Linked DNA regions of Ovis aries. The protein of the gene in region 1 purifies or fractionates together with the protein of each later gene. This does not show direct contact. Links are inferred from orthologs where the notes say so. Each region holds a gene or a part of one and is shown in the gene's direction. Other genes may lie near its edges. The genes, in order: HSF1, BAG3 and HNRNPA2B1.

What was found.
Region 2: the proteins of HSF1 (region 1) and BAG3 purify together in Homo sapiens (affinity purification with mass spectrometry; 3 studies listed by BioGRID and IntAct, with this or other methods). This does not show direct contact. The link is inferred for Ovis aries from reciprocal best matches to the Homo sapiens genes HSF1 and BAG3.
Region 3: the proteins of HSF1 (region 1) and HNRNPA2B1 purify together in Homo sapiens (affinity purification with mass spectrometry; 3 studies listed by BioGRID, with this or other methods). This does not show direct contact. The link is inferred for Ovis aries from reciprocal best matches to the Homo sapiens genes HSF1 and HNRNPA2B1.

What each region holds. Positions count from the first base shown.
Region 1 is NC_056062.1:13,584,884-13,592,973, reverse strand, and holds the start of HSF1 (heat shock factor protein 1), read left to right. Parts: upstream 1-3,931; 5' UTR 3,932-4,098; coding exon 4,099-4,215; intron 4,216-8,090. Other genes in the region: ribosome biogenesis protein BOP1, read right to left, coding at 2,077-2,271, 3,682-3,771. UniProt on the Homo sapiens protein: Functions as a stress-inducible and DNA-binding transcription factor that plays a central role in the transcriptional activation of the heat shock response (HSR), leading to the expression of a large class of molecular chaperones, heat shock proteins (HSPs), that protect cells from cellular insult damage.
Region 2 is NC_056075.1:39,286,002-39,294,091, forward strand, and holds the start of BAG3 (BAG family molecular chaperone regulator 3), read left to right. Parts: upstream 1-3,051; 5' UTR 3,052-3,404; coding exon 3,405-3,590; intron 3,591-8,090. UniProt on the Homo sapiens protein: Co-chaperone and adapter protein that connects different classes of molecular chaperones including heat shock proteins 70 (HSP70s), e.g. HSPA1A/HSP70 or HSPA8/HSC70, and small heat shock proteins (sHSPs), e.g. HSPB8.
Region 3 is NC_056057.1:71,301,358-71,309,447, forward strand, and holds the start of HNRNPA2B1 (heterogeneous nuclear ribonucleoproteins A2/B1), read left to right. Parts: upstream 1-3,434; 5' UTR 3,435-3,602; coding exon 3,603-3,608; intron 3,609-6,327; coding exon 6,328-6,363; intron 6,364-6,460; coding exon 6,461-6,571; intron 6,572-6,737; coding exon 6,738-6,884; intron 6,885-7,100; coding exon 7,101-7,311; intron 7,312-7,456; coding exon 7,457-7,558; intron 7,559-7,633; coding exon 7,634-7,714; intron 7,715-8,090. Other genes in the region: CBX3 (chromobox protein homolog 3), read right to left, coding at 1,131-1,154. UniProt on the Homo sapiens protein: Heterogeneous nuclear ribonucleoprotein (hnRNP) that associates with nascent pre-mRNAs, packaging them into hnRNP particles.

The sequences.
Region 1 (8,090 bases):
ATTCCTTACCATTCCTTGCCCAAGGTAATGGGCACCCTTAGTGAGTCTTTCGGAGAAGGCAATGGCACCCCACTCCAGTACTCTTGCCTGGAGAATCCCATGGATGGAGGAGCCTGGCAGGCTGCAGACCATGGGGTCGCTGAGAATCGGATACGACTTCACTTTCACTTTTCACTTTCATGCATTGGAGAAGGGAAAGGCAACCCACTCCAGTGTTCTTGCCTGGAGAATCCCAGGGACGGGGGGAGTCTGGTGGGCTGCCGTCTATGGGGTCGCACAGAGTCGGACACGACTGAAGTGACTTAGCAGCAGCAGTGAGTCTTTTGTTACATTCTTGAATGTGGCAAGCAGACTGAACTAATAGAAATGGGAACTTTTGTATGAAAGAGTATGAAAACAAAATAGGAGAAACCCCACACAAGTGTTACTGAAAGGTCCAGACCAAACACAAGAAGTAGAAAAAAAGAGATCTAAACAAGCATGACAGGGAAAGAACAGCAGAAAGCACCTGATACGCTCCATGACAAGAGCCAAACGTCTCTCCTGACAGAGAAGCTGCCCAAGGTGCCCCCCAGTGCTGCTGGGAGCGCTGCTGGGGGTGCAGGGCAAGGCCAGGTGCGCGGGAGAGGCCAGGCCCAAGGTGGAGACAGGAGGGTGGGGCCAGGTGCAGGAGGGGAGCGGGGCCAGCAGAGGTGAGGTGTGGGGAGAGGCAGGCCGGTGGAGGATGCGCCAAAGATGACGGTGAGGCCGGAGAGGCTTCCTGCTTCGAACGGCCCGTGGCCCGCACACCTGGAACCCACAGAATCAGGGGACAGGGCTCCCCTGAAGAGTGACCCTTCCATCATGGAACTCTTAGCGGAAGAGAGAGAACAGGCTCCCTCCTGTGTCTGCCATTGGCCACCTTTGTCCCCAGGTAAGCGTCTGGACCCGGCACTTCCCACTCCAGGCAGAGGCCTGGAGAAGCACACTCCCAGCTGGGGCCCCTCGCCAGCCTGCATCCAGGTCTTTGACATCTCCCCAGCATGCCCCTGAACACCGCAGGGGCTGCCCCCAATCCTTAGCAAGGGACAGCAAAAGCCTCGAGACAAGCTGCAGCGATGCGTCCTGCCAAGGGTTGCGGAGAGTGCAGTGAGTGGAGCTGGTGAAACGCCACCCAGGAGCCCCACTAAGGCGGGGCCGCTCAGGCAGCCCTGCTAAGAACTGGCAGAGAGGGCGGGGGGGGGGGGGTGTGGAGGTGGGCAAGTCACCTAAGTCCACACGTCATCTAAACCACACCAAGGCCGTGGCTGTGGCCAGCATCACAGGAGCTCGAGGCTGCCATTCCAAAGCTGGGCCGCTCAGTGGAGGGGCTGGTGGCCGCCTGAGCGTCACCGCCACATGGATCCTGAAGCTGTGTGGTGGGGATGCTCCCTGACGAGGCTGCACGAGGACCCACACGGCAGGGCCTCATGACACAGGGTGGCCACAGGCTGTGACAGGGGAAGGTGGTCAGCAGACCCTCGAGAGGGCCCTGAGCCAGAGAACAGCCCTTGTGGTGGGAAGGTTTCATAGGCGAGCAGCGCTGCATTGGCTTCGGGATGCGAGAAGCAGGCTAACGCAGAACACAACAGGGCTGTCACAGGGGCAAGACTGTCCAGCCATGAACTGCAGTCACCAGGAGAGTGAAGGGAGTGGACAGGAACACCTCCTCTCCCAAATGGTGCCGCTTGAAGATGTCACTCTTTGTCAAGGAGGCGGAGGAAGGGCCCACCTTAGGTCACTGCACAGAAATCCCACCTTGGGCTTCGCCCCGAGGAAGCCAGCTGACAGCTAAGTCTAGCAGGCAGCCCAAGACCCTGGAGAAGTAACGTCAGGGTTCCTGGGTTACCGTGAACAGAGCACAGGGCTCCTCGGCTCCAAGCGGCATTCTGCCCCGCCCTTACTGTGCCCAAGGGAGGAGGAAGGAGGCCCTGGGGTCCACGGAGTGGGAGAGATCAGTGCCGGGGGCCCTCAGAGAGCCCGATGCCCGGCAGGCGCTATCTTGGCCATGGTCATCTGGGGTGCGGGGAGCCCTCAGGAGACTCCTGGCTCACCTACCTGCTGCCCAGGGCTCCTGCCCATCCTGCTGCGCTGCTCACTGGTCCCCGCCCCCTCCTCCTCCGAGGCAGTGGCATCCTCAGTGCTGTCGCTGCCGGAATCTTCCAGGCCTGAAAACACACTCTCCTCGCTGTCACTAAGGCCAGGATCACTGCCAAGCCTGCTGCTGGGAGCCGGAGCGCCGAGGAGAGAGGGCTGCAAGAGGCATGGCACTGATGACCCCAAGCCCACCCACCAGGCAACCAAGCGCTGACCCACAGCCTGTGTGGCCAGCCTCCTCGGTCACGGCCCTCAGGCCACAAGCCTCCAGCTCCACCAAAACCACCCACCCAACCCAGGCCTCCCTCACCACCCACTTCCACCGCCAGCAGGCCTCCTGCCTTTGGAGGAGACATTCAGTTAGAGTCTCACAAGAGAAGGACTTTCCAAGGAGCTCAATTTCCATCACATCACTTGCACCAGCTCTCCACCCTTCACGCCCGAAAGCCACATCTGGCATTCACATCTCCAGAGCTACCAGGGCACTGGAGTGGGGTCTGGGACAGGCAGAGAGGACCACAACCTGAGGCGCTTTTCCAGCCTGAAGAGGACTCTATCCAACCAGATAGGGACTGACAATTTATCAGTAAATTGTAAAGACTGGTTGAAGAGACGTAAAAATGATGCAAACTTTACTTAAAAGCAAGTGTTCTGGTTCACCACCCCATGGGATAGGACTAGAGCTTCCTCTGAGCAGAGGTCTGCTGACCAGACACCACCCAATCCCTAAGTTCACAAGACCCATGCACTTAGAGAGGGGAAACAAGAACTTACAGACTTTCAGCAAGCACTTACTTGAATGGAGAACCCTAGATTTCTGCTTTTTAATAGCTACTAATTCTCTCAGCTAACAGGAAAGCCTGCACTCACCAATTAGCAGCATTCAACTGAACTTCCACAGAAATAACTCTGATACACACTACTTCAACGCTTAGTAAGCTACACAATTACAACAGCAAATAAAAATGGCACAAATGGCTTGGGCACAAACACATATGGCTGCTGAGCCTGGTGCCCAGAATGCCTGCTAGCAGGAGGGCAGCAGGATTGGTCAGGGTAAAGGGGCTGCCTGACAACCTAGCAACGTGGAGTGCTCCCTTAGGCAGGCGCGGCTGGACAATCTTTGGAGGGCTGATGACACCCCAAACCCAGCTGAGGTTCCGCTGCATGTCTGAATGGAATGGCTTTAGGTGCAGTTAAAAAAAGGATGCGGCCAATACAGCAGGCACGGCCTTCCTATTCTCGTGCCCTTTTACAACGTATCCGACGTATCAGTAACGTACTAACATGCTCAAACCTCTTTAATGCAGGAACCACAATCCAAAGGGCTAGGGAGGCCACGCGCACGATGCCAGCCCCTCTTGCTAGTTCGCTCCGGCCCACACTTCTCCAACCACACTACGGGAGCCCCCTGCCCAGGACGCCCCCACGAGGCCACCGCCAGCACAGAGCTGGTAAACCGCCTCCTCGCACTCCTGGGCCCTGCTCCCCGGCGCTGGCCGCCCCGGAGCCGCCATGTGCGGCCCAGCCGCGCCACCCCGTCCCGCTCGAGCAGCCCGTGGTCACCTCCTCCAGCTCCGGCTCCGGCTCCGGCGGCCGCTTCCCGGGCCGCGCCACTGTCGCCGCCGCCACTGCGCCACTCAGCGCGAAAGCCATGCTCCCTGACCGCCAGGACCCGCGCCGCCACTTCCGGCAGCTAACAGACCGCGTGGGCCCGGGGGCGGGGCCCGAAGGGTCAGAGGGCGAGAGGCGGGCCCAAATGGGCTGGGCCGGCGCGCACGCGCGCGCCGTGGGGACGCGGGCGGGCGGCGCCGGCGGGAGCGCGCCCGTCGCAAGATGGCGGCGGCCATGCCAGGCCCCGGGGCCGTGTGTGCGCAGCGGGCGGCGGCAGCGCGGCCCAGGCAGCAGGCGCGGCGGCTGCGCTAGCCCGTCCCTCGGCCTCTCTTTGCGGTTGCTACCTCCTCCTCTCCCGTCTCGCCCGGTATGGATCTGCCCGTGGGCCCGGGCGCGGCGGGGCCCAGCAACGTCCCGGCCTTCCTGACCAAGCTGTGGACTCTCGTGAGCGACCCGGACACGGACGCGCTCATCTGCTGGAGCCCGGTGAGGGGCTGGGCGCGCCGGCCTCGGGGCCTGTAGGGGCGGACAGCCGGGGGTTCGGGAGAGCGTCCGAGGCTTCCCCTCGGTGCGCGCTGCCCGGGTCTGGGCAGGAAGGGCCTCTTCTCCTCGGTCTCTCGCCGAGTAATTGTGAGACGACGGCGGAAGCGCGCCTGGCTTGAGGGCAGCGCCCAGTTTCGTAGCGAGTGTGGTGGCCAGGTGACCCCACAGCTTCTCAGATGAGTTACCAGGGTGGTGGGGTCGGCAGCTGTTGCGAGGAAATGAGGATTTGGCGCAGGTATTGGAGGGCGCTGCTCTACTGAAAAGGAAAGGGACCGAAAAACAAAGCAAAACGTCATAAAGTTGTGGTGGGTCTCGAACTCGTGTCCGGATACCACAGCTGGGTTCCCCCAGAGCCACTTTTTATTTCGTTCCTCTCGGGGCCTCTCTATCCACGCCCCTGCCTCCAGTTGCCTGGCAGCAGGCTCGTCTCCATGGTCTGACCCTGCAGGCCAGACAGCTACCCCGCTTGCAGAGGTAAAGCAGAGACTGTCTGGAGTTGCGGCTGAGAATCTGCGTCCGGGCTGTGACGTTGCGTCCGGGAAAGGCCCGAGCCATAGCTCGCGGCCCGCAGGTGTGCGGCCTGGGCTGCCCTGGTTTGCGGAACCTCTGGGTGCCTCCGGGCACACTTGCTCTCCTGAGGGCGCTGGCTCTCCCAGATTCTTCTAAGTACTTCTCTTTCACACTGTTAAGCCGTTAGAAAGGAGCAGCAGTCTGAGCTGAGGCGAGCCCAGAGCAGGAGGCCAGGTCCTCTGGTTCCTGGGTTATTTGCTGAAGCTCTGTCTCAAAGCTGGTAAAGAGAGTCAGAATCATACTGCGTCCTTGTAGGGAACACTTCGTGTTGGTCCCAGTGACACACCTGTGTGCCACGCTCCATCCCTATTGCCTGCTTCTGTAACTGCGCAGCGTTCCCCAAGAGGAGGCTGTACTTCCTTCCCCAAGCCTGTCCTGTTACTACCATCCCCTTGTTCAAGGCCCTAAGCTTTGCTGACCCAAGGAAATGACCCCAGGTTTCTGTCTTTATTCTTCATTTCTCTTCTTTTCCTGTCCCCTAAACTCCCAGGAAATACTCTTAGCCAGGTTGGGGAGGGGCATCGGAGATCCTTTGGGATAGTCTGAGCTTAATCTACTGGGATAATCGCCTCTTGATCTGCTTGATGTTTCTGCTTAAAGATTGTGAGGCAGCAGCCAAAGCCCTGCCAGCGAGCTCTCCAGGTCCCACTTCCTGTGTTCCCAGCAAGGCCTTAGAGCTGGAAACCAGGACGGATCAAGCCTGCCACAGCCTCACACACAGTGGCTGCACCACCCACCAGCCCTGCTGGAACTTAAACTGGAAGGAGTGGGAGCAGCCGGCTGGAGCCCGTGCATTTAACCTCCCTCCCCTCTGTCCTTAGGCCAACCAGGATGTGCTTGGCGCGGGGTGCAGCGGGCAGGGGGCTAGTGGTGCCAGGCAGGACAGAACCTGAGCACTGGTTCAGCTGTGGAAGGAAGCCCTTTTCCAGGCTGGGCAGGGGCTGTGGAGCTGCCTGGCCCTGAGAAAGAAGATGGCCCTCTCCCTGAGTCCTCTGCGATGCCCACACAAAGCCCCAGGCCTCTGGCAGAAAGTCTGCTGGGGGAGACTTCTGCGGTCTTGAAGCCCGGCGTTGGCTTCCAGAGGCCTTGGAATGTTCTGGCATCTGTTCTCTTGGTGCCTCCCTTCCAGCTGGAACTTTTCTCCCCATTCTGCCCCGAGGACCCTGTGTTTGCCCCCAGAGACAGGAAAAGGGGGCGGGGTGGGGGGTTTTCCAGCCCCAGCAGTGCTGTGCATCCTCCGCACAGTCTGAGGCCCTACCTGGAGAGTCATGTTGGTTTCCTTTCCCTCCCAGACCCCCGGTCAGTTACCATGCTTGGTGTGGGGCCACCACAGAATATGCCAGGGCTGCCCCTCAGACAGCCCTGTGGGACCGAAGGCCCCACAACCTTGGGAAGGAACCTGGTGAGCGTGGCAGCTGCATCCATGGGATGCTCCGTGAATCAGGCCTGTTTGGCTTCAAGACAGCATTAACAGTGGTAGGAGGGTGGGTGCATTGCTGAAGGAGGCTCTTCTTGTTAGGCTGTGGGCACCATGAGGCCCTAAGAGCAAGGGCCTCCTTTGCCTAGGAGCTGGGTGTCGCCAAACCAGGCCCCATCCCAGGTGGCCAGTGTGAGCGCCTGCAGTTAGAGGGTCGCTCTGGAGGCCCTGGCTGCAGAGCAGCCTGTAGTCAGGTTGCCAGCTCTCTGCGGGACTCCTCGAGGGCCCCAGTTGCACCTGACCACTCCGAGGTGGCTGAGGATTGTTCCTGGGGCTCCCACAACAGGCAGGCCGCTCCTCCTCCTAGCTGGGAGCCAGGTGGGCCCCAGCAGGCCCTCCGCCCTGCCCTCGGGGGTTGGCAGTGGCCAAGAAAGGCTGGAGGAGCACCCAGCACACAGCACAGGCTGCAAGGGGCACTGAAGCCTTGGAGGCCCCTGGTGCCCCCTGAGCTTGCCACCCAGGACCCGGCCAGCCCTTTCCGGCCCTCCACGTAGCAGGAGGCCCAGCCCCAGGGCATCAGTTCACCTCCTCCCACGGCACCACGCAGAGGTGGCAGCTGGCCTTTTACAGACACGGGAACTGAGTCTCAGAGACGCTAGGAAACACAAATGAAAAGCAGGAGGACGGCTGAACCGGACCCAGAGTCCACGGTCTCTCGCTGGTGTACAGTTGTGGCTCACACCTGCCCTCGCTGCATGCCGTGTCTCCTGGGTAGAGGGCAGCGCAAGGCCCTCGCCGGTGGGGTCCAGGCTCTGGTCCACCCCACCTGCTTTCTTAACTGGACCCCGGCCATACTTGGACTGATCAGTACTCAGGTGTTCATAGAATTGTATTTTTTTGCAAGAGAGTCCCCATTTCACCTTCCGTAGAGGTACACAGATATATGTATGGACAGACAGAGAAACGGATGAGCCAGGCAGAGATCTATCTGTCCCTCCTGCTGAGGTAGGAGGGTGGAGGTGTGAGGAGGAGGGGCACAGAGACTCAGAAGGGGCTGGAGGGAGAGAGATGGACACAGCGGATGTGAGCCCGCCTGGCTCCACAGGCCGCGTATGCTCAGAGGGATCAGGGGGCCCACAGGACCCACCCTGGGCAGAGCAGTCAGTCTCGTCAGGTATCACAGGCTAGGGACCCACGTCTGCACCTCTGGCTGCAGGGATTCCCAACCTGGGAGCGCTGGGAGCGGCCCCAGAGCCCCTGGCCCTGGGCCCAGTGGTGACTGAGTCAGCAGAGGCCCCTGCGTTCAGCTGGGCCTGGAGACCCAAGTGTGGGGCGGGAGCTGGAGAGCTCGACCCTGAGCACAAATAGGACAGGGACTTGAGGGTGGTGCGAGCGGGCTCCTTCTTGGCTGAAGAGACAGGCCGGGAAGGACACCAAGCTGCTCTGCAGCCGCATCCACACAGCACTGGCGCTCTCACCGCATGCGGGTGCCCGCTGCATGCCCGTGACTCCCAGGACATGTCACGCAGACCCATCTCTTTGGCTGGAGGACTAGGACGGGCCTTCTGTTCTGGGCAGACTCTTGAAAGGTGCAGGTGGACCACTGGAGTCACCGTGGTGGTTAATCCTGTTGATGTGGAGCTCTTGGAGAATCTGCTCACAGACAGACCCTCCCTCTATAAAGATGTGCTCATATGCAGAACTTTGTATACATTTCAGGGTGTTCACAGTTCTGTAGGAAATAGGGCCACAGGCTCCAAATTTATAGCAAGACTGGATATTCACTAAGCCCTGCATTTCAGAGGCAAAGGCATTGCTCGCCAGCTAGCAG
Region 2 (8,090 bases), on another chromosome or scaffold:
CAGCAAAGAGTGGGCATCAGAGAGAGTGGAAGAAGGGTCTTTTACACACCAGGCCAATGAGCGTTGGATTTGGAGATAAAAAGGGCGATGGGGAGCCATTCAAGCATTCTAACCAGAGAAAGGACATGGCCCACTTGTGCTTGAAAATGGTCACTCTGGCCACCATTTTGGCAATGGATTGGACACGAACAACCTAAGAGGCTGTTTCCAGGGTCCACACGAGGGACAAGGATGACCTGGACTAGGCTGGTGGTACTGAAGAAAGAGAGGATACCCATAAACAACGAGTACCGAGGTGGTGCCATCTACAGACTCAATGATGATTAGAAAGAGAAAAATGGAAATTCAGGGTCATGCTTCAGCTTCTGATAGGCAAATGAACTGCAGAAGGCCTTGTGTCTTGGTCCATTCGAGCTACTATACCAGACTAACTCAGACCAGGGGGGCTTATAAACAATAGAAATGTATTTCTCATAGTTCTGGAGGCTGGAAATTCCAAGATCAAGGCACCAGCTGATTCAGTGTCTAGCAGGTGCCAGAGGACAGCCATCTCCTCACTGTGCCTTCACATGGTGGAAGCAAGCAGGGAGAGAGCTCTATGGGTTTATTTATTTATTTATTTATTTTGTATAAGGGCGTTAAGCTCATTCATAAGGGCTCCATCCTCATGACCTAAGCATCTCCAAAAGGACCCACCTCCAAATGGCATCACATTGGGGAATATGTTTCAATATATGAGCTTTGGGGGACACAAATATCTAGTCTATAGCCCCTGGGGAATGAGTGTCATAAGATCTAGAAAAAGAAAAAGCCATCAAGAGTAGACATGTGCCTCATTATTCAGCATGGCTTAAAGGAGCTTCTTCTAGACAGTTCTCCAAGATTTATGACTCCATTGTAGACAAACCCACTTGAAACCCCTGATGGGCTATAACTCTCAGAAGTGGGGTATGTTAATCCCAGAGGAAACTGTTTCCTCCCTGTTTCTCTAGCAAATCTAACAAAAAAGCAAACAAATGTTAACACTAGCAAAGAATGTTCCGTCTTTAAATGTAGTTGTAGTGAAATCAAGCAAAGGAAGAAAATACAAATAAACATTCACTTTGGAATCAACCTTCAATAAACATCCATATTTATTGAATACGGACTCTGGGCCCAACCTTCTGCTCAAGGCTTCAGAAATAAGGAAAAATATGAGAGCCGCTGGGACTTCCCTGGCAATCCAGTGGTTATGACTCTGTACTTCCAATACAGGGGACACAGGTTCAAGCTCTGGTCAGTGAATTAAGATCCCACGTGGCACCCAGTGCGACCAAAAGTAAAAATAAAAAAGAGGCCCACTGACTAGTGCACTTGCAGGCCCAGCTCTTTCAATAATAATACTTCTTATGGTAAATTGGTGCACTAGCATTTGGGTTTATACCTCAGTCTCTTATGTATTTGGTGGTGACTTGAGTCAGTTGTTGTTTAGTCACTAAGTCATGTCTGACTCTTTTGTGACCCCATGGACTGCAGCCTGCCAGGCTCCTCTGTCCATGGGATTTTCCAGGCAAGAATACTAGAGTGGGTTGCCATTTCCTTCTCCAAGGGGAACTTCCTGACTCAGGGATCAAACCTGCATCTTCTTGTTGGCAGGTAGATTCTTTACCTCTGTGCCACCTGGAAAGCCTGACATAGTACAGGGCTTAAACATCTCTGTGTTTTCACAAAGCTGAGTTTTTGTACTTCAAAGCTGGTAAGTAGACCTATGTAAGTGAGACCCCCATTCCATTGAAAATGATTGGCAGTTCTCTTCAGCATTTGCTCTAAAAGGAGTAATTTGGGGGTGGGAAGAGACTCCAAAAAAGTGTTTCTGAGGGTTCCAGAATGTCCTCTGCATTTGAGTTGGAATATTGGGCCCAATATTACTTAGCCCAAGGCATCTTCTCAAAAATGTTTCTGGGGAAGGGAATGATCCTGCAGGCCTAAAAATCTAAAATGAGACCTCCCAACATACCACCTCTGGGGGCATACTTTCTCTCTCTCTCCCAGAGGAAATGAGGTGCTTGGTGGAGGTTACAAGTGCAACCACCATTTCATTACACAAATTTTTTTTCATAATTTGTATTCTTTCCTACTTTTCAAAGGGCTTCCCAGGTGGCTCAGTGGGTAAAGAATCCGCCTGCAGTGCAAGAAACATGGGTTTGATCCCTAGGTCGGGAAGATCCCCTGGAGAGGGAAATGGCAACCCACTCCTGTATTATTCCCTGGACAGAGGTGCCTGGCAGGCTCCACAGGGTCGCTAAGAGTCGGAGGTGACTGAGCACGCATGATTTACACTACTTTCCAAATGAAGGTCAGATTAAGATAGCAAGAACCAACTTGCACCATCAACAAGCCCCAAACCCCAAAGAATGTTTTTTCTTTAAAGTTCTTCACTGCAACGACAGAGTCTACGTTTAAGACATGTGCTTCAGCAACATGCATGCGCTGATGCAATCTTTCTTTAGGATTCGAAAGAAAGGCAGGTGAATTTCTATTTGTACTTCCATTATTCGCCCTGGCTTGCTTCTGGTGTCGGATCAACATTCCAGAGCCCTTTCCGGACGGCCCTTAAGCCCATGGGGAAAAGTGATTAACTGAGGGTCACCAATGTCCCGGAGTATCAGTAATCTGGGGGTACAAAGGCGAGGTGGGAGAGACTCTAGTTTAATCCCCAACGACTTAAAAGGCTAACGATGAGTTTGTTTTTACACGAAGGAGCCAGTCCCGGGAACACCCACGCGGCTCGAAGAAGACCAAGCAAATCTGAAAACCGAAACCGGCCCAGGACACACAGATGACGTCCCCGGGGGTTCGCTCGACCTGCCGCTCGGCGACACAGGGATCCCGCGGATGCAAACCCCTCGCCCAGCTCAGGGAAGACTCCGCCAGGAGCCCCCGACCCGGGGAGCCGCGAATAGGGGGAAGAGGTGGCGGGGTGGAGGAGGGGCGGCCGGCGGAGGCCCCGCCCACGCCCCGCCCACGCCCCGCCCCGCCCCGATTATAGCTGATGACTCAGGGCGGAGCTCCGCATCCAACCCGCGTCGCCGCCAACTTCTCTGGATGGGACCAGAAGTTTCTAGCCGGCCAGTTGCTACCTCCCTTTATCTCCTCCTTCCCCTTTGGCAGCGAGGAGGCTATTTCCAGACACTTCCAGCCCTCTCCGGCCACGTCACCCCCTCCTTTAATTCATAAAGGTGCCCGGCGCCGGCTTCCCGGACACGTCGGCGGCGCTCCCGACTTTCCGCTCCGGCAGCGGCCAGCGAGCGACCCTACACCTGGAGGTCCGGCACCCCGCGACCCCGTGACCCGGCACCCCGCGACCAGGCACCCTGCAACCCAGCACCCCGGCGGCCGCCCCTCCGGGCCGACCCCGACCCAGCATGAGCGCAGCCACCCACTCGCCCATGGTGCAGATGGCGTCCGGCAACGGCGCCAGCGACCGCGACCCCCTGCCCCCCGGCTGGGAGATCAAGATCGACCCGCAGACCGGCTGGCCTTTCTTCGTGGACCACAACAACCGCACCACGACGTGGAACGACCCGCGCGTGCCCCCCGAGGGCCCCAAGGTGAGCAAGGCCCGCGCCGCACCCTTGCCAGTGGCTCCCCCTCCACCTTCCCCCCAGCCCCCCATCGACGGCCAGTCTAGGGACAGGGCCGGGCGGGGGCGGCTGGACTGGGCCCGGCTGCGGGGACGCAAGGCGCCAGGTGCCCGCCGGCCGCAGCCGGTGCCTCGGAGGTCAGTGAAGGCCGCCTGGAATGCACGGATCCCCAGAAGGACGCCAGCTCCCAGGGGGGTCGGCCTGCTGCGCCCCCCACGAGCCCACTCTCCAGGCCCGCCCTTGGCCGGCGTCTGGGCCAGTTTGGGGAGCTTCCCAAGAGGACTGCCCTCCCTTGGCCGTGTTTGGTTTCCGGGGGTCGGGCGGGAAGCGGGACCCGCGCGGTGGCACCAGGTCCCGTCCACCGGCTCCATTCGAGGGGCCCTGGGCCAGGAGACGACGGGTGGCCGGCCTGCTCAGCACCAAGGCCCGGGCCAGGCCCTGCCACGGTCTCCACCCGGCTTCCAGGGCTCAGATCCTCCTTTCTCTCTGCTGACCGTGCTTTGGCAGACGCCAGGGGACCGTTGGCAAGCTTCTGTGGGGGTCCTTTAGGGTCTCTTAGGAATTTTACATCCTCAAGTTCCTAAACTTGGTTGAGGGTATCTGGAGTTCACTCTCCCACCTCAGGCACAGAGTGACTCAGGAGACTGATGTAAATGCATTCCTTTTCTTTATTTTTTCCCTTCTGTATTTGAAATTAAAACTCTATTATTGTTTGAAAGTTGTCCTCACTAGGAATATATTCTAGTATGACTTGTTAAAAATAAGATGCAATCTTCCAGGCAATTTCTAAACTGAAGATGTGAGACTGTCTCCTAGTTGACTATTGCCTTAGATACTGCCTCACCCTGGTCAGAAAGAGATTAAAAAAAAAAAAAAATCAACACATTCCCTTTCTCGTTATGCTACTAAAATATTTAGGATTTTTTCTTATCCCCAATACACAAATAATTTAGTAGTAATACTTTTGTATTAGAAGTATGCCTCATTTACATATACGCAGGGGTGTATATACTACTTAATCCTTAGAACCATGAAAATTTGAAAATATAAACTTGGAATGAGTCTGTTAATTTAAAAAATTATAACTAATTGTACTGCTCTTGTAATTTTTATAACTTTGAGCTTTTTCAAAACGTAAAGCTTGGCAAAAAGAAATAGTCTGGGCAAAATAGAAGACATAAAGAGCTGGTAAGTTATTTTTAAGATTTAAAAATTCACAGAATTAAAAATGTTTTATAAACCATTGTTTTAGAAGAAAAAAATCTGTGTTAACCATCTTCAGTTTTATGCAGCTTTTTCCTTTAAAATATTTATGAAACTCTGGTGCCCAACAGTGAGATATTGTATAATCAGCAGCTTATGCTTATGAGAAATTAATTGTATATTTATTCCTGAAAATTATTTCAAGAGGCTGTAATTAGCTGGGATCGACATAACCATGTATTCCTTTCGCTTGTCTGTTCAGCCCATTATTGAGTGAAACTAAAGCTCATTTTAAACCAGCTCTGTTACTGCAGACTGCAAGGGTGTAGATCTTTACTGAGGCCAAAAAAAAAACCAACCTGTCTTTTTGAGGCTTCCTTCCTATAGAGACAGGAAGAGTCAGAATCCACTGGCGTCAGTGGTGGTGAGTGTAGGTCAAGTAGGAACGTATCCACTGTGAGTTCAGTGTACATGCCACATTGTTGGCGCTTGGTTTTCAACGTGAAACTCACCCAGCAGGTTGAGATCTTATGTATGATGGATGGTTAGGCTGTGGTTTTACAAACTTTTTCAAGGCAAGGGGGCGGGGGGAACAGGTTAAGTTACTGTTATTTTTCTCAACAAGTAGAACATAAGAGCTAGTAAATCAGAAGTTTGATGCCATAAAAGTTGATTTGAAAATTTAACAGAATTTTAAAGTTGAAAGATCGTTTAAGATCTTTTAGCTCAGCCTCTCTTTTTCTGAGAAAGAAACCCAGAGAGTTCACATGTGTTTCCAAAGGCCATTCAGCCAGGACCAATAGCAAAGAGAGACCTACACCGGAAAGTCCTATTTAAGAGGCAGTTTATTGTTCAGAGGAAGGTAGAAGAGTCTTAAATTTCTTAAATTTCTATGAAATTTAAGTGTGAACTGGGAAGGCTGGAGTACTTGATTGTTTTTCTGCCCTTCTGACTTTTGTGACTACTTGGATGGTGATGGCTGGATGTGATCAACTCAAAAAAAGAGCTGCTTACCAAATTAATTGAGATTTCTCAACGTGGCACTAGAACATAAGGAGAAAACTAACATTCACTTCGTTAGCTCTGTGGGCTTCATGGCTTTCAAGACTGTGCTTTGATGTACACAGAACAACTATGTGACTAATTCACTTTAACTTCTGTGAATGACACCTCACTCCAGAATAAATACAATGGAAAATAAATACAGTGGAAACTCTTTCAGTCAGTTCAGTAGCTCAATCATGTTTGGCTCTCTGGGACCCCATGGACTGCAGCATGCCAGGCTTCCCTGTCCATCACCAACTCCCGGAGCTTACTCAAACTCATATCCATTGAGTTGGTGATACCATCCAAGCATCTCATCCTGTCATCCATCCCCTCTCCTCCCTCCTTCAGTCTTTCCCAGCATCAGGGTCTTTTCCAGTGAGTCAGTTCTTCGCATCAGGTGGCCGAAGTATTGGAGTTTCAGTTTCAGCATCAGTCCTTCCAATGAACATTCAGGACTGATTTTCTTTAGGATGGACTGGTTGGATCTCCTTGCAGTCCAAGGGACTCTCAAGAGTTTTCTCCAACACCACAGTTCAAGAGCATCAGTTCTTCAGTGCTCAGCTTTCTTTATAGTCCAACTCTCACATCCATACATGACTACTGGAAAAACCATAGTCTTGACTAGAAGGACATTTGTTGGCAAAGTAATGTCTCTGCTTTTTAATATGCAGTCTAGGTTGGTCATAGCTTTTCTTCCAAGGAGCAAGTGTCTTTTAGTTTCTTGGCTGCAAACACCATCTGCAGTGATGTTGGAGCCCCCTCCCCAAAATAAAGTCTCTCACTGTTTCCATTGTTTCCCCATCTATTTGCCATGAAATGAATATCCTTCACTAGCACTTTATATCAGAAATTGGTTTCTTAATGTGGATTGAGAAAAGAGCTCTGGCAAAAAACAAAGGGTCATTTTAGAGGAACTGAGCTACGAGGACCCTCTGAGCATCCTTACCTTCCAGGGAAGATGCTGTCAGTCAGTAAAGAGCTATTCACCGAACATGAAAAGCAGAGAAAGCCGTCTTCAGGGGAAGACAGTTTCTGGGGTGTTTGCAGTTTAATCATATGGGTAAATGAATGAATTTCTTGGAAAGAAGAAGACTAGAACTTTGTGTATGGTTTAGTTTTATTTGCTGTTGTCTTAGAGTTGATCCTCTCCCGGTTCCCTGAGGTGTTTAGAGTGACTTTTCATCCCATTTTTAAAGAGGGGGCAAGTGAAAGTATCTTGCCCTTCACTGCAGAGGCAGGACAGCTAAAGGCAAAGGCTTTGGGCCTACTCCAGCTCCACTCTGAGAATCTGAACCTCCCCACCTGCAGTCTTCCTGGATATCGATTTTCTGCATACGTCTCCTGGCAAGTTCCTACCAGTCCAGGCCCCTTCTCTGGAAGAGGGCTTGGCATCCTCTTTGAGATGTACAGTTTCTATGCAGGCCGCTCCTTTGGCTCGCCTTGTGAAATAAACAGGCCAGATGCTTTGGAGTGTGGCGCTGTGCCGCTCCCTTGCAAACCTCCCTGGGCAGAGGAGCAGGGCAGTTCTAGCTTTTCCGGTCCTGGAGGTGCCTGGGCACGGATTCCCGAGCCTGGCAGTCTCCAGGGAAGCCTGAGGAGAACACAGGTTGCCAGCTGTGCGTACTCCCTTGTTGGGTCCAGGTTGTTCAGGGTAGGACCTAGAAATCTATATGTCAGAAAAAGCTGCCCTGTTGGTTCTTGATTCTGGCGCCCGGGCACTTGGGAGTCACCAAAGGACAATGATCCCACATCCTAGAGGGGGTGGCGTGGGGGAGCTATGACTTTGTGTGCACCTGTGTGAGCCTTGGCATCCTCAAGGGAGCCTGCTTCACATCTAAACCTGCAGAGCTATCTCCCGAGCCTCCCTTCCTTCCTGGTGAAACTCAGCAGGTGCCTGAGTTTCTGGGGGTGACGATGAGGATGGCAGGGGGAGGGATGGAGCCTGGAAGGGTGCCAGTGCCAGGTATGGGGAGGTGATCCGCAGACCCTTGTGAACCCCAGGAGAAGCAGGCCAGCTGAATCTCACCAGTCATTTGACAGATTATCCTCAGGCCCTATAGGGAACAGATAGGAGCATCCTTGCAGAGGAACTCAGAGCTGGTTTGAGTTTCAGCTGAAGCAGAGACCCATTTGTTCCCCTTCACGTTCAGGAGAGCTTCCTGAATATTCCGAGAGATGAGATCATCTTGTGGTTTGCAGATCGATCGCAAGCTCTTC
Region 3 (8,090 bases), on another chromosome or scaffold:
CTTTAAAGATACTGGTGATTGTAAAGCCAATTTAATTATCTACATTTTGGTTTACTGATTACGAAATTTGAAAGACAGTTCATTCCTGAGACGTGTTCGAAGATGCTTTGGGCTTTCCCAAAAGCATGGGAATAAAGAATGCCACCAGACAGGCTTTATATTTCATATTTAAACATTTCTCAGGATGTCTGACTTAAAAGTGCATATCTAATGATGAAACAAACAAAAAAACCCACCAACTTATCCTTTTGTTGTGAAACCCAAGGGCAGAAGTTACAAACCAAAAGGAAATGTTTTGCTCATTTAGATGTTAACACACTAACCTTCATATACTTGCAATTATTAACACAATGTATTAGAATTACATAACTGAATTTCATGATTTTTATGTGAATATTTCAGGGCTTAAATTAAAATCTGTAACTTAACAAGGCTGAATACACATATGTCAACAATCTGTAGAACTTTTAATGAAACCTAAGAATGCAAACTGTGGGTTTAAGAACTGCTGGAGAGAAAAAAAATTGCTCAGAAGATCTAGTCTTCTCTCTTTTCTGGACATGCGTGATGTTTTTCATGCTGAGTATTTAAAAAAACTGCACTGCAATGATTTAAAGTCCTTCTGTATTTTAGAATAAGCACGTTTGAAACATGACAGTAACCAAAACAATTTGAAAGACACAACAACTTTCATCTCAATCTAACTGTACAAGATATCCGTTTTATAAACAGGGCAATACTGAAAATACCTGCTTTCTCTAGAATTCAGTATAGAGTAACTTAGAGAACAGTAATCAACAAGGCTTTATTACTTTGTCTGTCTATACCTGTAACCTTCTTCCATGTCACATAAATTTGTGTATCTTTCCAAAATAAAAATACTTGGTAAAACTCACATTGTGCTACCCTCCCAAAATTAGGTTTCTTTAAATGAATCGAAACACTATGAAGTCAAGTGAATGTAATAATTTCCTTTTATGCTCCTAACTTCTCCCCATTAAGTTGTGGGGGAGAGGGAACTTGGAACTACATATGGGTGTAATTTCCCAACCACAGAGGTGCAGTTATAATTTTGGGAGGAAAAAAGTTTGAGTTAGATCCTTAAATATTTTAGGTTTTCATTAACTTACCAATGTAGTTTTATTGGAGGCCATTTTTTATTGCAGACTTGAAGAGCTATTACTAAAAAAATGCATGACAGTTAAGAAGTTTGTAAGACATAAAAAGATAGCTACACGTAAGTTTTTGTTTTGATTCCAACCCCCACCTAGTTAGCTCATGTCATCAAACATATACAAATCCAGAGGAGCAGTTTTAAGATTCTGAGTAAACTAGTGATACGTGCCTGAGAGTATATCAGTGCTGTAAGTTATCTATACAACCTTACTGAGAACCTAGTATCCGCGAAAGCTTTACAGGGTAAAAATTTGACAAATTTTTTTTTTTCCAATCCGAATCCCATTTAAACCATAGTCAGCATTTTAAAAAACTAGCTAAATAACCTGGTTCAAATCAGACAAGTGTCCAATCGATTACAATAATTAGTGTGAATTTCCCCTCTAAGACATTAACAATCGGAAGAGTCGTCTATGTAATTTAATTCTAACTTGGTTTCTTCTTAGAGACCTTCTCAATCACTAGTTGAAAAACTAAAACATACCGAGATGCTCCAGTTACATTTCGTGCCACTTTTGAAAACAAATCAGTTATTTCTGCACTTTCATCCGCTCCCCTTAAACCCCTACCCCACCCGGCTTAACGAGGCCTTAGCGCCCGGCCCCTAACCCCGCCACACGAGAGCGCGGGCCTCGTGGTCAGCGCGTCTGCGGGGAGAAACAAAGGCCGCGGCGCGGGGGCTCAAGGGCACTGCGCCACGGGGCCCGTGCCTCTCCCCACCCGGCGGCGGCCACGTAACGGAGCGCCCGCCGCAGTCTGCGGACACTCGGCTGCGCGGATGCGGGAGAATGCACCGCCCTCCCTGGAGGCCCAAGTCGCCGACCAAGCACGGGACGGGAAGGAAGGCCCCCTCAACCTCGTCCGGGATGGGGGAGGGGAGGAAAAAATGCGCTTTGTCTAGAAATAAGGCGGCTGGCGCCACAGCTTTCAACCTTGAGAAGAGTCTCATCCCCTAAACCAACTACAGACGCCGGCCCGAAGCCAGGCCCGCCACGGGGTCTCTGTTCGCTTCTCCTTTCCTTCCCGCCAGGTCCTGACTCAGGGTCCGGCGAGGAAGATAGGAAGCGGGGAAATGCGGGTCTCTGGGGCTTATGCGGTATCTTAAGCAACACCACCGAGTGAAAGCTAGAGAAAAAAAAAAAGACACCGACTTCACCGCCTCTGAGCTGCTCCGGGTCCCGGGTCTGCGACGTCTCCGGCCCTGCGCGCCTCAAGCTCCAGTCACATCCGAGAGGGAGGGGGGCTGGGGAGCAGCGCTGCGCGCGGGGCCGCCGCTGGGGGGAGGGGAAGGTGGCACCGCCCACGCCAGGCAGCCGCCAGGGGCGGGGTGGGCGCGCGCCCCGGGGGGTGGGGCCGCGCGCCGCGCAGTGCCCGCCGGGAGCCCGAGCCGGAGCCCGGGCCCGACGGAGGGGGGAAAGCAGGGGGCGGTGACAGCGGCTCTTAGAGTTCGCGGCGTGGCGTCTGGTGGTCGCCCGAAGGGAGGGCGAGGAGGGAGCTGAGGGCCGCGACCTAAGCCTACTCAGCGGAGGTGTTTCCTGCTTTGCTGCCGCCTTAGCGACTGGCGCCAAAACAGGACTCCGCCCACTTCCTCGCCCCTGGGGTTGGGTGCCTCCAAACGTTGGGGGTGGGTGGGAGGAATCGGGAACTAAGAACGAGCACCACTTTCGACTACCTGAAATGTGGACCCCAAAAACATTGGCCAGGGTTAGGGTGGTGGATCGTTAAGTGTAATTTGTTGACTAGAAGTCGCTTCGGGTGTTTCCGGAAGGGGTCAGTCGGTTCTCCGCGCAGAGAGGGGAGGATAGGAGAAGGTGGGGGAGGGAAAACACAGTGGAAGAGACTACAAAGATTTTTTTAAAACTGGGGACCGAGGAAAAGCCATCGAAGCGTAGCTGTAAGGACCACTTCCCGGGATGAGGGGGCTGGACTTTTGGGTTGAGGATTAAGCTCCTCCCAACAGCGTTAATTTCAAACTGCGCGACCGTTTCTCACCTGCCCTGCGGGGGCAGTCCCCAATTCCGAGAGACAGAAATACGCAGGACTCGAGCCTTCCGCAATTTACAGAGCCCTTTTACGCAACTGACGTCCAGCATCAGTGCTGGCCTTAAAGGGGGAGGGGCACGTACTTGGCGCTAGGAGGTCGTAGAGCGTTCCCGCCATTGGCGGCGGTTAGGACGTTTACGCAACGGCCTGACGTAGGGAAGACGCGTTAGTCGGGGGGAAGGTTCTAGAAAAGCGGCGGCAGCGGCTCTAGCGGCAGTAGCAGCAGCGCCGGGTCTGGAGTGGAGGTGCTCCAGCGGTGTTGTTTCTCGAGCAGCGGCAGTTCTCACTACAGCGCCAGGACGAGTCCGGTTCGTGTTCGTCCGCGGAGATCTCTCTCATCTCGCTCGGCTGCGGGAAATCGGGCTGAAGCGACTGAGTCCGCGATGGAGGTAACGGGTTTGAAATCAATGAGTTGTTGGAAAGGGCATGGCGAGGCCGTTGGCGCCTTACTGGAAGTCGGCCATCCGCCTCCGTGGGAGAGCGGCAGCGAAATTGGGCCACTTCATAAGCGGTTGGTCTCAGGATATTTTTGGAGAGGGGTCGTTAGCAGAGGCCTAATTGTACAGCACCTTCCCCACCCTCAGCCTCACGGCGCCATTTCCCTTTGCTGGGGGTGGGGGATGGGGAGCTTCCACATGGCGGACGCAGCCCCACTTTACTGAAAGTGGGGCGCGGAGGCAGGAATTCCTACTCCGTTTTTAAAGAAGGGTGGTTTGGGGGTCCTGGCGTCCCCGCGTTGGAGCGTTTCGGCGGGTTTTGGGTCCTAGCGAACCGGGCTGCGGAGCTTCCCCTCCCCCCTCCCGGGAACCGGATTTGGCGGCCGCCATTTTCATTTCTCTCCTTCCTCGCAGCGATTTCTTTTTAATTCTCTAGATTTGACTAGCTTGACTTTTTCAGTGAGGACTAGAAGTGGGTAACTATTCATTTCTTTTTTCGGACTGTTTTCGTGCTGTTTCGAGGTGGATTCCGAGTGTGTAGGGAGCTTGGAGCTTTAAAGTCCTGCGCACCTCATTAGAGGCTCGCTCCTTTCCCCTCGATGAAATGGCGCCATTGCGTTCAGGAGCCGCACCGAAGGGCGGGGGGAGGGGCGGCGTTCTCCTGGGCGGTTTCGCTCGGCTTAGGAGGTAAAACCCTCTAGGGTGTTGGGCCCGGTTTCACGCGTGCCACGGTATAAAGACCTCATATTTTGTTTTTCAGTCCTTGTTTGAGTAACAGTTTTACCTGCGTTTCCGGTGATTGAAAAGGCAGTTGAATCGTAGAAAACATAAAATGAAAATTTTAGAGAAGATTATCGATTTTGCGGGAGGCCGTGGGGAAGGTGGTCTTTGGGGGGGGCGGTGTTCGGTTCAGAATCCTTTATTTTCCTGACGGATTCTTTTTTAATCGTATAATTTATTTGTATTTTAAGTAGTATTTTTACCGGGGAATTTAGTCTTTACTGGGTAAGGTTACGGGTGTTTTTTTAGTGATAAACTTGAAATTATGAGTTTAGTTGTACTCTGATTAAAACATGGCTCGGTCCCTCAATGCGTGTTCTGCTGTATACAAAACTTTTATTAGGCTGAGCCACTGTGTTTTTGAACTTTGTCACTTGCTTTTCTCGTTTATGTTTGCAATCATGGTTGATGATTACATTGATAAGCATAAGGTCTCAAGCGAAGGGGGTCTGCCTGGGTATTTTCATTGACCCTAAGCACGCTTATAAAATAACTTTGTTTGTAATCGATAGTGGACAGCGGGTAAGTTTGGAAAATGAGGTAAGTAATGAGTTTTTGCCTTTTGTTAGTGATTTGTAATGTTGTAGATGTATTTTAGTCTCTTTATTGGGGTTTTAAAAGGCCAGTTAACTGACAAGTGTTTGGAATAAATAAAATATGCTTAAGTGAAGTGTACAAATACCAGTATGTCAAGTTACCGTTTTAATAGATTGTTCTTTTAAGTGTTTGATAAGCTAGTTTGAGAATTTGTCTTTTCAAAAATTTCAGAATCTTAAAAGTAACTGTACAGGCAAAGAAATCTCTGCATTATTACTGTTTTCTAACATGTTGGGAGAATATCATGCATGGAGAGAAACTTGATGGAACTATGGGTTGAGTGTTGTAGTTCTACTTAATTTACCTACGTGCACTTGGTGGCTAACTTTCGTTTCTGAATGTTATTTAACCTAGTCAACTGAAAACCAAATAAAATGATCCAAGCTTCCTTAACTGATAGCCCCAAATACAGAGCTATTAATGTAGCTTATATGCGTGCTGGTTTGTAAGGATTGAGATTTCAGCTCAGGCTCTCTTCTCACATGAAAGTTGTTTTATGCTGTGTAATTTGCCAAAAGACCACTGAGTTCTACATGGTGAAGTGTAAGTCGTAGTGATATTTTGTAACTAGAGAGGATAGTCACAGTGGTCATTTAAATATTTTTATGGTTTTTGAAAATTGAAGTTACAGTGTCTTTTACTGTATTTGTCTTTTGGTTCAGTAATAGTGGATTGGGCCATCAACAAAACCAGCTATGTTAAAATATGTGCTTTAGAGACCGTCAATCATAAAAGTCATTTTATACTTTCGTCAGAAAAGATAAATTTTGAGGCTATTTTGCCACATATATTGAACGTTTAAGATTTTCTCTGGAGAGTTGGTATATGAGGAAAGAAAGTCAATACTAAGTTTTTCAGAGTTTTGAAAATTGAGTTACATTATAATCACCACCAGAGGGAGCAATGAAGGGAAACTCATTTCTTAAATGCTAAATCCAGAAACAAATGGGAACTGGGTTATAAAGCGAAAGTTGTTATATTTTAAAAATTTGTATTTGAATATGTAAAAGTGAACTCTGTTCTAAGTTATAGGATCGAATGCAGATGTTGATAAGACTCTTAACTTTACAGTCACCAGGGACTAGATTTGCTCTTCTTTCTTCAGAAAGATTTTTTTTAAAACTAAGTGATGCTATATTTGTTTAAACTCATTTAATGTCAAGTAAGTTTATATCAAGCATAATGATTTTGAAACGTGTAGTTTGGCTGAGGCAATTTTTTTTTGGTGTAACACAACTAATATGCAGTTTAACATATGGTTTAAATTTGATGTAAGTTTTTTTTTTCCCCCCAGAAAACTTTAGAAACTGTTCCTTTGGAGAGGAAAAAGGTACTCTGCCAGCAGGTCACCTCATATTTAAGAATTTTATTTCCAGCATACAAAGAGAAAATGTAAATAAAAATTGAAATGCTGTTTTCCTTTGCAGAGAGAAAAGGAACAATTCCGTAAACTCTTTATTGGTGGCTTGAGCTTTGAAACTACAGAAGAAAGTTTGAGGAACTACTACGAGCAATGGGGAAAACTTACAGATTGTGTGGTACGTTAATTGTGGAAGTCCTTAGGGGTACTAATCCTTTAACTGTTGGATTTCTCTGTTAAAGACGTTAAGTGACTTAAAGAAACTCACTTAAATTTATGTTGATTATTTTTAAATGCTGTAAGTAATGAGATTAAATGGTAACATCACTACTTTGTATTTCAAGGTAATGAGGGATCCTGCAAGCAAAAGATCAAGAGGATTTGGTTTTGTGACTTTTTCTTCCATGGCTGAAGTTGATGCTGCCATGGCTGCAAGACCTCATTCAATTGATGGGAGAGTGGTTGAGCCAAAACGTGCTGTTGCAAGAGAGGTGAGCAAATAGGCAACTTGTTTGTTCAATAAACAATTTGGGCTGAAATTCTGTTTCACAGTTAGTGGCTTTTCAAAGAACAAGGTGCTTTATCATAAAGGTGCCTTGCTTAGTATTTGGCCATAAGATAGAAGCCATGTTTATTACCCAGATGGTGTGCTCTTACTCCTATTTGTGGTTTCTTCTGTCAGGATGTCTTTTTTCCTCTTATTTCAGGAATCTGGAAAGCCAGGGGCTCATGTAACTGTGAAGAAGCTGTTTGTTGGTGGAATTAAGGAAGATACTGAGGAACATCATCTTAGAGATTACTTTGAGGAATATGGAAAAATTGATACCATTGAGATAATTACTGACAGGCAGTCTGGAAAGAAAAGAGGCTTTGGATTTGTTACTTTTGATGACCATGATCCTGTGGATAAGATTGTGTGTAAGTGTCTATAAGTGCCAGGATTGTAGCTCTTGAACATTTTAGGTTTTGGGTATGTTAACACCTACAACTTTGTTAAAAAGTAAGCTTGTAACTTAACTATTATAGGATACTGACTTAATGGACTCTGAACTTTTCATTCCAGTGCAAAAATACCATACTATCAATGGTCATAATGCAGAAGTAAGAAAGGCTTTGTCTAGACAAGAAATGCAAGAAGTCCAAAGTTCTAGAAGTGGAAGAGGAGGTAACTTTTAATTCCATTTTTTTCTTAGGATTTATTTGTGTAAATGTTAGTTACTAACCAGGGTGTTTATTGTAGGCAACTTTGGTTTTGGAGATTCTCGTGGTGGAGGTGGAAATTTTGGACCAGGACCAGGAAGTAACTTTAGAGGAGGATCTGGTAAGTCCACCTTTAAAGCTGAGGAGGGTGAATGTGCTTGAAAAAGTTTTGATTGGAGTCTAGGAAGTCTGACCTACTTTGTTATCTGTAAGACTTAAGGTGAGATCGGTCCTAATGGGATATTCTAATTTGGTTAGCAAGAGGTAGTAACATTTAAAATCAGAGTTGTATAGCTCTTAATCATGGACAGATAATTGCAGAGATTGTTTCATGGTCTTCAGTTTCTGGAAGAGTTAAAAGGACATTGTAGCTATTTTAAATTTAGGAGACATTTTACAAATAGTGAGTGGAAATACAGTAGAGGTTTGAAGAGATCTAAAAGTTTCTTTGCTTCAGGCTTTATATATTGGTTAATCTCAGTTAACTATGTAGTAAA